Canis lupus familiaris: one gene and its partner. The protein of the gene in region 2 purifies or fractionates together with the protein of the main gene of each other region. This does not show direct contact. Links are inferred from orthologs where the notes say so. Each region holds a gene or a part of one and is shown on either strand. Other genes may lie near its edges.

Region 1 (5,107 bases), on a different chromosome or scaffold from region 2:
TGGAGACTCCTCAGATGCATCCATCCTATTCCAGATTTGAGGACAGGGAACAAGGAGTAGAATGGTGGAATATTGAACATTCTAGAATTTTATGGGCCTACTATAAAAAAACAAAGCAATTTGCAGAGACAATCAATGAATTCAAACTACAAGACCGTGAAGAATTTAACAGGCTGCTACTTATGAGAGACTTTCGTTAGGTCAGACTCAACGGAGACCATTGCAGCTATGCTATCAGAAAATTACTAACCAGGAAAAGCTCCTCAGAATGTCCTCCTCACAAAACCTCCTGGCAATCTCTGACCTAGGTGTGTTTTTGTAAGGCCCAGAATGCTCTGTACACTTATAAAGTGGTGTGGTGTTTAAAAAAAAAAAAGCCCCAATTATTCACAATCTGAATCTTTATGGAAAGTACTTTTGCCAGCCTCCTGCTCTATGTAGCTAATTTTCTATCAGTTTTTCAGGGTTTCCTTCTGTTTTCCATTATCAGAAATCCAAGGTTTCAGTTAAAATGAGGTCTGATGCTAAAAAGGTTGAAAACCACTGAAACAGAATTATTTCTTGACCAATTTAAAGAGCTCTTTCCAAAAATAAATAAATAAATAATTGATTAATTAAAAAAAATAAAGCTCTTTCACGCCGAAAGCTTTAAGACCAAGTCAAAAGTTGAAGCCTGATGGCGGATTATACTCGAGAATCAAGGTGGAAGCTGGGAAGGAAAATGCAAAGCCCTCACATCTGTGCTCTCGTTGCTGGTGTTTTCTTCTCGCTTTCGCTCTTCTTCCTCCTGTTCTAGCTCCTTAATGCTCTCTTCCAGAACGTTGGGCCAGAAATCACCCTCAAAGTAAGGCAACTCCTTTGCACTTGTTAATCGATCTTCAGTAGCTTGTTTAAAAATATCCTGTGAAAATACCAGGTACAAGTAGGAATTTGGTTTTTTTTTTTTTTTAAAGAAGCATTTATCATTCAGAAGCAGTCACAGCTAGCAGACACAAGAAACCTGAAGGATTATAATGTCTTCTGAAAGAAAGGCAGCAGAGAGATTTATACCTAAGCCCCATGGCCCAGGGGGACATTTAGTCTTAAACAGTAAAAACTCAAGGTCTGAGGTCAGTGGTTCTGGTTCTGTCTTTCCTCTGCCTGTGAGGATAGGGAAGTTACCTGCCTTTATAAAGCCAAGTGGGACATCTTCCTGCGAGGACTGATGGCTCAGGCCCCATCAATCACGCCGCAGCCTTTACTATTGCTGATGACACAATGCAATACAATGTGAGGAATGCCTGCCTTGTTCCCATCACCCATCCCCTGACTGAGAAATATGTTCAAAACAACCCAAACCACAAATACTGGAAACTGCATGGCCACAGGCTGCTCTGCTCTGCTGCCTGGGAAAACATCCAGTTCTTACTTTTCTCCCCAGGAGTAAAAACAGATAAGAAACTTATCTGTTCAAGTTCTTATCATGAGATGCCCTCTAATCATGAATGGCTATTAAGAATACGTTTTTCATCACATCTTTAAAACAGAGATTTGTTGATCTAAGACATTTAAAACTGAGTTTTTCTTGGTTTGAAAAAGGGAGTACAGAAGATTTTTGTTAAGATAGTCAAATAGCAGAATACAGAGCTGCAGGATCAGTCATCGCCCCCCATTCCTCCTGACCTTGTAGTCATGGACGATTCGCTCAGACACAGCCTTGTCAAGCATCTTTTTGTACCACTCCTGTAGTCGCTTGGGCTTGGGTATCTTCTGGTCAGGAGGATGGCAATGGAAGATATAGTCGTCTCCCTCACTTGGGGGACATGCCCAAATATGTCCTGTTGTATATCTAACAACACAAAGAGGGGGAATATTCAAGAGAAAAGTTTATCATCTATTCCAGAAAGAATGCTACAACGTGGAGTCAATATGGAAACCAATGATTTTTTTTCTAAGACAATATCAAGTGTACAACCCAGAATCAGATCGAAATTCTTAGGCCAGATTCAGGCCTAACCTACAGCACTTACAATGGGTGTCACATTGCCTAGTTCTTCTTAGAGGCTAACCCTGGATTCCCAAATCCCAAATTTGCATGTGAAGACAAAAGAAAAGCTACAATGCAAAGGAACATGGATCCATTCCAACAACACGGAACAAGGAATGGAAGAAAGCTAAGTGATAAAAGGAAGAACTTGCAAGGTGCGGTAGTGAATGTTCTCAAGCACACGTATACCCTGAAGGTAAAGAATCAGGCTAATTTGAGTATTTCCAGACCCTAGTCTATTTTGGTTCTGATACCTAGGTATGAGAGGGTCAACTGCAGTTCAAGGTTCTGGCCCTGAATGAGTACCAACCTTCCAATCAAACTGTACCTAACACCTTAACTGAACAAAAGAAAACTAATCTGGGATAAGTATGACTAGGGTCAACATATCCATTTCTGTCCGACTGGCAACACTGAGAAAAGGGAACAAAGTCACCTCTCTGCTTTAATCTAAGTTTCACCACAATACCACAGTGGTAATTAGTTAAAAATTTAATTAGTTTAAGCTCATTGTTTTTAAAGATAGCATTTGTCAATATGCTTACCCTAATTTCTTGACGTATTCTAAATATCCAATTAGAATTTCATGATAGACTGCAGTCCTCAAGCATTTAGGACGGAAGAAATGAACACTGTCAAGGTAGGATATGTAAACTCTCCTGTATCAAGTGGGGAGAAAGAAACCATGTCAAGTCACATAAGGAGTTCTTACTAATATGGCTAAAAACACAATCTCCTCTGTGCTCTTTTTCACCTCATTTATAATACACATCACACAGTCACAGTTAAGTACATGACTAGGCTGTGCACTCTTTAGGAGAGTCTGGTGAGCCTCAGTACCCAGCAGCGCTTGAAGCATAGTGTATTAGTATTTATGGATCCAAGTGTATTCTGGTAGCATTCTTATTCTGGCCTTTATACTATTTTGGAAACAAATTCTAAACCATATCCTAACTTTACTTGTGTGACATTCTTTCACATTATCTCCCAGGCAAGGCACCTAACACAATCAAGAATTAAGCCCATTTTCTGAAAAACAGTCTGCTTCCCACTTCTCATTTCAGGCTGTTTGATACTCCTCCTTATTACTATGAACACAGTTTGCATTTCCATTTCCAAAGCAAGTACATCAAATAGTTCCTTGCCCACAATGCTTTTTGCCTATTGAACTGCAAACTCCCACTCAACTGGAAGGCAGTGGGCCAAGTCCTACCTCTGGTTGGGTGGAGGGCAGTCGGAGCCATACTCCTGAACGTGCATGCCGAAGAAGCACAAGTCAACACCGTCTATCTCTTCAAAGGCAAAGAGGGCTTTGGTTCGGTAAGGAAAAGACTCTGCCATCTCTCCGCTATCTACAAACCTACATAATCCAGATTGGAAAGAAAAACACGAGGTCTCAGTTAAACCAGAATCATCAGCAATTAACTGTCAAGTGCTTGTAGAACCACAAGAGAAGAAAAGGGAAAATTATTGGATACCTTGCTTTCATGCCTGGTTTCACTTCCACAGTTTTATCAGAAGCATGCACTACCCGAACAGTGACTTCTCCCGACTCAGGGTGATTCTGACGTCTAAGAAAATCATTCACACGATTCTCCAGAAAGGTGCCAAGCCTGGTAGATGGCAACCCTAGAAGTGCAGAAGTGAAAAGTTCTGCAGTTAGCCAAGGTGCAAATTCATTATTGTTAACTCTTAAGCTTCAATATCAAATATCATTTTTGTATTCTCCGTCCAAATAGGATAACCTGATTTTGTTAAAAGTTAGCAATGTGATCAATACTTGAAAACCATCGTTTTTTAAAAAATAGGAGCTACTTCATGAATTTGTGTGCCATCCTTACATAGGGGCTATACAAATCTCTGTATCATTCCAATTTTAGTATATGCGCAGCTGAAGCAAACATGGTAGTGAATTTTAGGTGTTTTCCACCCAACTTTTTACTTGGAAAATCTTCTAATTTCAGAAGTCACAAAATACAACATCCACATGCACTTTGGCTTGATTGCAGTGATATTTTAAAATAACAATGGTTGGATATTATGAGAAGCCTTATAGGAATAAAAAGCAATCTGTAGGTCAGTAAAAACTGCAAAGGTATCCACAAAATTAAACCAAATATTATAATGCAATAATCTCGACTGTATACAGGATACAATCTTTTTTTTAAGATTTTTATTTTACCTATTTGACAGAGAGAGAGCTAGAGAACACAAATAGGGAGAAGAGCAGAGGGAAAGGGAGAAGTAGGCTCCCCGCAGAGCAGGGAGCTCCACGCGGGGCTCAATCCCAGGACCCCAGGGATCATGCCCAAGCCGAAGATGCCCAAGCCAAAGGCATCTGCCCAACTGACTGGGCCACCCAGGTGCACCCCAGGATACAATCTTTGACTACCACTACCCCAACCACCCAAGTGAGATAGGTCTGAAAGAGGCCCCAACTAAAAGTTTGGACCAAATTGAGGTAATCACTGATGGGATGGCAATTCTGGACATATTTCCACATGCAGCCCCAATTAGGAATGCCCTAAATATGAAGAAATGTAGGAAAAAGAACACCTATCCTGCACATTTCAAATCCTAATCCTTAAGTAATCTCTACACCTAATGTGGAGCTCAAACTCACAACCCAGAAATCAAGAGTCACAGGCTCTTCCTAATGAACAAGCCACGCATCCCTTGCATGGTTTATTTTTAACTATGCTTCAGTGGAAGTATTGCCAGGATTTACTTGTAAAATTAAAACTTACTTTTAGCAGAAAACTTATTTTCTTTCCTGGTTCGTGCTGATTTCTTTAAACAGCCATCACAGACAAATCTAAAATGTAAACCAAGACTTTGCTTACACAGTTACATGAACATTTAAGGTAACATGTACTAGTAACAAAATCTACTACTACATATATGTACCAAGTTAAAAGTCAAAAGACAACCTGGGAGAAATATTTCTATACATATAAAACAACGACTTAATAAAAAAGCCTAATTGAAAAACAGGCAAAAAACATGAGGAAATGTCAAAGGCATATAAACTGGCTGATAAACAGGAATTTCAGTTTTTGGACAATCACACTGGCAAAAGTA
Region 2 (5,637 bases):
ACTTATGGTGCTGCTACACCAATAATCACTTTTGTTAGCATCCTCTACTGGCGGCTTCCAATGACAGCAAGTGGAAATGGTGCAAATGACAGAAAAATACGTACCTGCTATTCTATCTAAAGTAAATTAATCAGCATGTGGTCATTAGCAGCTAGAGCACATTTCTCTCCCTGCCCCCCATCCCAAATGTATATATACATACATATGAAAACCACACACAGAGTGAAGTGGAAAATTAGAAGACATATTTTTAAAATACAACAAAGCATTACATTACAAATGGTAAAAATCAATTTTACGCAATTCTAATGCCACTCCTTTATAGATAACTAACATCATCACCATAAAGTTACCACCTAAGGTTTGATGCTTGGTCAAACCTTGCTCAACTGGTTTACCCCTGTTAAGTTACATTACTTGATTCTCCTATTAATATCCTACTTCGAAGATATATTCCAGAAGGGAAATTAAAATGTTTTACTGGAGGCTTAGCAGTAAAATCTGCATATCTTATTTTTAAATGAACAAAAAATTATTTACATATAAATAACAACATAAAGTATCCCTGGGACTGTTGCCCACTGTACACATCATTTATTCCCTCATTAAAAAGATTTAAGAGTTAACATCTTTCATGCAATTCTCTCCAAAAAACAACTGCAACTTAAATCTGACTGCGTTGCTAAGAAATATTTAACCAGCACCTATTCTGAGGTTTCACGACACAATGGCATATAACTTCATTTTTAATTTGCAAATTATAAGGTTTAATCAAATAGCATGGCTGTAATCACCGGCAATGGATGAAATGCATTTGAGAACAAAAAGAAATACAAGGACAGAGCCAAAAGTGATGAAAATGGAAGATACCTGTAGTAGTATGGTGCTATCTTAAACACCTTTTGTTTTCTGTGAGTAATGCAGACTGCAGACAAGACATTTTGTGCTAAATAGCCCAAATCTGTTTTTCTAATATTAAACACAAAGGAAAAACACTGACAGCAAGCATGGTAAATAAATCCCTCCCTTGAGAATGAAAGCAGCAGACAGGAGGGGGCTGACATACATGCAGGAGAAAACTAAACACCATCTTTTTTCTACCTGCACAAGTTGCCATTTGCTGCAGCGATCGAGAACCTCTTTTCCTGTTGATTTCAAGTACCTTTCAGGATAGCTTTTTTCCCCCTTAAGTCATCTGTTGATATGCCTTATGAGTGTAATATTCATATCACGGGATCTTTAGGAGAAAAATCCATTCTTTCCTGTTCAGGTAAACATGTTTACAGCAGCTGCACAGACGCTGGGTGGTTCAGACTCACATGTCACACACATGTCGTCAGCAACAAGAAAAGCCCCTTTCTCCGGCGATGAACATTTTAAATAAGGTAAAAAAAAAAAAAAAAAAAAAAAACAAAACCAAAACCAGCAGCCCTTTCCGAACCAACTTACCTTTCATAAAGCCACATCAGCAACAGTGGCAACAGCTCAATATAGCACACTATTTGACGCTAAAACAGGAAATTAAAATTGCAATAGCCTATGCTCCGCTCCTTGCTGTAACAAGTCATCTCTCCACAATGACGATACCAAATATTAGTTATCAGTCATCATTAACAGACGTCTTTAAAATGCAAACGTTTATTTGAAGAACTAAAATCATTCACCAACGCAGTGATTTTAATGTCGGCTCAAATACATCAAAAATATTTTTACGATTGGAAGGAAACATCTTGAAACAGCTTAAAATCTTCGTATCTGCTTCTAGACAGGAAATCCCACACAAAAATCTAAAATTGCCAGGAAAGGTTACAAAACCTCGCGTTTCGCATCCCAGAGCGGAGGGAGGAAAGCAGCCCAGGAGCGGGGGTGGGGTGGGGCGGGGGGAGTGCGAGAGAGTTTGTACTGAAACACGTATTTCCTCATTTTCTGGAAGAAACAGCGATCCCATCATAGGCGCATTAATTTCCCTACAGTTAAAAACTCGTTTAAAAAATCCCGTGGGCAGCCTTAGGAGCCCCCGGGTCCGACATGCGCGTGTAATTCCTTATATAGCCTCGGCGCGGCCAGCGGCGGGCCGGTGCCGCCCATATTATACAAACAGGTACCGGGCGGCGAGGACCTCGCCCGCGCCCCCGCGCCCCGCGCCCCCGCGCCCCCCGGTCTCGCCCCGCTCGCCACAGGAACCGTCCAGACAATACCAGCCAGCAGACATGTCGCTGCCGCACGAGACGGAGGGAAAGCACAGAATCGCCCCGAGATAAGCAGAAATAGAATCAACTTACAACGTCTCCCCAAACTGGACAAGGCGACTGTGCAACAACCACCACATGTTCGGGTCTCGCTCTCTCTTGCCGTCCGTATCGCTGTCTCTCATTTCTTTTTAAGTCCGAAGTCAGGCCGAGGGGTGCGTGCGGCCCCGGCACCGCGGCGCCCATCGATAATCCCCGCAGCCGCAGCGAGGGCAGCGGACCCGCGCGTCCGTCGGTCCGTCCGCCCCTCCCCCACCCTCCTTCCACCCGAGACCGAGCGCCATCCCAGCTCCATTATCCGGCTTCAGCGCTCCGCGCGTCCGGCCCAGGTAACAACTTCCCCAAAAACCGAAAGAGAACAGCGAGGCGTTCGCACGGAGCCCCGTCCCGGCGCGGGGCAGGAGTGTCCCCCGGGGTCGGGGATCTGTCTGTGGTGCTTCCCGGCCCCCAAGACCAGGTAACAAGTCCACAAGCACGCCCGCCGCCATCCACGCGGCTCCCACGGCGGCAAGTAGGTGCCCGCTCGCGCCCCGGCCGCCCCGCCGCCCGCCAGCTCCCCCGCGGGGCTCGGCTCCGGGGGCCGGGCCCGGGCCGGGGACACGGGGGCCGGAGGCGCGGGGAGGAGGGGCGCTTTAGGGACCCGTCCGCCTGCGCGCCTCGCCGGCCGGTCACAACTTTACCGCCGCCGGCCGAACCCCGTCCGCCCGTCTGCCCGTCCGCCCGCCCGTCCGCCCGCCCGCCGCGCGCCCCGCCGGCGCCCGCGCACACGCGCGCACGGACGACACGCAGCCCGCCGCCGCCGCCGCCGCCGCCCGCCGCCCGCCGCCCGCCCTCCGCGCGCCCGCAGCCCGGCCCGGCCCGAGCCGGGGGCCCGAGCGACGCCGCCGGCCGGGGCCGGGCGCGCGGAAGCCACTCTGCAAGGGCAGCACCGGCCACAAGTTTGTTCCGCGGCTCCCGAGGGCCTCCGCGCCGAGGGAGAATAACGCGGAGGGGGCTGAGAGGAGGGGGAGAGGGGAGGCGCCGAGGGGCGAAGAGTGGGGAAAAGTGCGAAAAGAAGCAACAGCCGCTCCACCCGGGACCAGAAAAGTGGCGGCCGCGTCCCGGCCGCCCGCCCTGCGCCGGGGATGCGGCGGCTAACGGTCCAGGCGGCGGCAGGGGCGGCAGGAGCCGCTAGGCGGAGAGAGACCAGGTAAGAGACATAACGGTTCAGGGAGAGCGAGCGGCCGCGGCGCGGCTCCGGCAGCGGCGGCGGCGGAGGGGGGCACAGAGCACTACTTTCTACTTTCCCACTCCACTTTGCCCGTCCCTGCCCCGGCCGCCCCCAGCCCGGCTCGCCCCCCTCGCCCTCGGGGGCGCCCCGGCTGCCCGGCTCCCCCTGACTCCGCCGCTCCCCGGTCCCCTCCGCCACTCACCGTTATTGCGCCGCGGGTTCGCCTGCTTTCTGCGCTTACACCTGGGGCCATCCGCCATGATCCTCTCGCTTGTGTCTAAATGCTCGAGTCACCTCCTCCCCCTCCCTCCCCCTTCCCCCCACCCCTCCGCCTCCACCCCTCCCCCCTCCCCACCGCACCTGGTTTACGACACTCGCGGCTTTACGACATCACCTTCCTAACACCTAGAGCCGCTCGCTCTACGGCCGGAACCTTGTTGCTAGGAGAGGACGGTTTGCGGCGACCGTAGAAGCAGCTGAGTTTGAATGGAGGGGAGAGGGAAAAGTTTCCTTCAGGTGTTGGGGGACCGGGGAGGGAGCGTTGGGAGGCTGTGGGGACGCGGTCAGAAGGGTGGCGGGCGGTCCGAGTGAGAAAGGTAAAGTAGGAGGCTCAGTGGCGCTGCCCCTCCGGACTGGCCACACCCGCCGCGGCCGCCTGAGGTGCGGACGGGTCTGGCTGATCCCTTCAGGACCCGGTCCCCCCGCTCGGTCAAGGCTGGGCTCCGCGCCCACGCAGCGAGTGCTCGCTCAGCGCACGGTGGGGCGCGGGAGCGGGTTGTGCCCCAGGCCCCCGGGTGGTCCCCGGGGGCAGCGGGAGGGCAGGTGCGGGGGGCCCGGCGAGGGCTCGCGGCGTCACGAGGGAGGCTACCGGACCCTGACCCGTACGCGGACTCCCCTCCTTACGCGGACGCTCGGTTCCCCCCCCGAGCGAACCGGGGTGGGAAGGGACTTCGGGCAGATAGAGCTCGAGCTGCACCGAAAGACAGGCGAGCAATTCCGCTTGCCGGCGACAGCGGCGGTAAAGCGGAATGAATAATACGCACCCGGCCGCGGTCTCACTTCCTCCTGCGCTTGGGGCTCTCACCTGCTGTCACCTCGGCCGCCCCCGCCCCGTGCCCTGCCCCCCTCGGAGCGGACGGGGCCAGGATCTGACGGCGAGAAACCGGGGCTGACAGATGTGGCCTCTGAAACGGATGGATTGTTGATCTTATCTCCAGCCCCTGACTTTGTACAAGTTAGAAGATTTCCGAAATACCATAGACGTTAACACTCCAAATCCCGAAAAAGTCAAGTTCTCGGTGTCCGGTAGGATTTAGCTTCCCTTCCTCCCCCCATCCCCCACGTTTTTCCCCGTTCAGATGGGGAAATGTCTTTGGTAGCAGCTTCATGGAACAAAATGAGCTGTATTTCAAGTTGTAAATGAGGCATGTGAAAGTTACTGAGAAAGAGATGGAGGATACTGAAAAGTGACGTACGGCATTACCAGCACGGTGCTGTCACGTAGTAGGTGCTCACTCAACACGTTTACGTCTATGATTTTTGCCATACCTATGGCAAAGATTATGGTGTTAAAATCATCCTTTAAAACTCCAGAATTTTAGAAGATCCATTAATAATCTCTCCAAACCTTTCAACTGAAATAAATTTACATTTGAAGCCTGGTAATTTAAAATTAGAAAGTTTAATCCTGAATATAGATGAAATTCTCCCTTCCACATTTTCTTTGGCATTTTGAGAAGTGAATGCATTATTTATTAGGGCATGAAATGTGACTGTAAATATTCTTTGCTATACATTATGGCCTATACATCTACTCATCCTCAGTGCTGAAACTAGACTCATTACTCTTGACGAGTACATTCAGTCCTCAATTTCCTTAATTATTCCCTGTTAACAAATTGTGTATGTCAGAACCAGAACCATGTCCCTGTTTCGCTTGGTTCGGGTGGTAATTTTTTCCTGCCTTCTAAAAGCTGTACGGTGTTCTTCAGTTGCCTTCTGAATCCAGCAGTTCCCCCACCACCACCACCACCACACAACTCTTTTACAGGTACCCTAATTTCCAGTCCGGGAAAGCAAAACAAAACAACTTTGTACTTAGCACACACTACCTATTCCTGAACTTAGGAACTATTAATCATGTCCTTTTCTCTTTCTGAACCGTTTGTCCCATACCTC

Evidence for each region.
Region 1: the proteins of ZEB1 (region 2) and EP300 purify together in Homo sapiens (affinity purification with western blotting; 5 studies listed by BioGRID, with this or other methods). This does not show direct contact. The link is inferred for Canis lupus familiaris from reciprocal best matches to the Homo sapiens genes ZEB1 and EP300.

What each region holds. Positions count from the first base shown.
Region 1 is NC_049231.1:25,041,021-25,046,127, forward strand, and holds part of EP300 (histone acetyltransferase p300), read right to left. Parts: intron 4,842-5,107; coding exon 4,774-4,841; intron 3,929-4,773; exon of another isoform or gene 3,827-3,928; intron 3,656-3,826; coding exon 3,505-3,655; intron 3,387-3,504; coding exon 3,240-3,386; intron 2,686-3,239; coding exon 2,572-2,685; intron 1,829-2,571; coding exon 1,663-1,828; intron 902-1,662; coding exon 737-901; intron 1-736. UniProt on the Homo sapiens protein: Functions as a histone acetyltransferase and regulates transcription via chromatin remodeling. Acetylates all four core histones in nucleosomes. Histone acetylation gives an epigenetic tag for transcriptional activation.
Region 2 is NC_049223.1:13,318,326-13,323,962, forward strand, and holds the start of ZEB1 (zinc finger E-box-binding homeobox 1), read right to left. Parts: upstream 3,779-5,637; 5' UTR 3,720-3,778; coding exon 3,662-3,719; intron 3,439-3,661; exon of another isoform or gene 3,243-3,438; intron 2,482-3,242; exon of another isoform or gene 2,283-2,481; intron 1-2,282. UniProt on the Homo sapiens protein: Acts as a transcriptional repressor. Inhibits interleukin-2 (IL-2) gene expression. Enhances or represses the promoter activity of the ATP1A1 gene depending on the quantity of cDNA and on the cell type.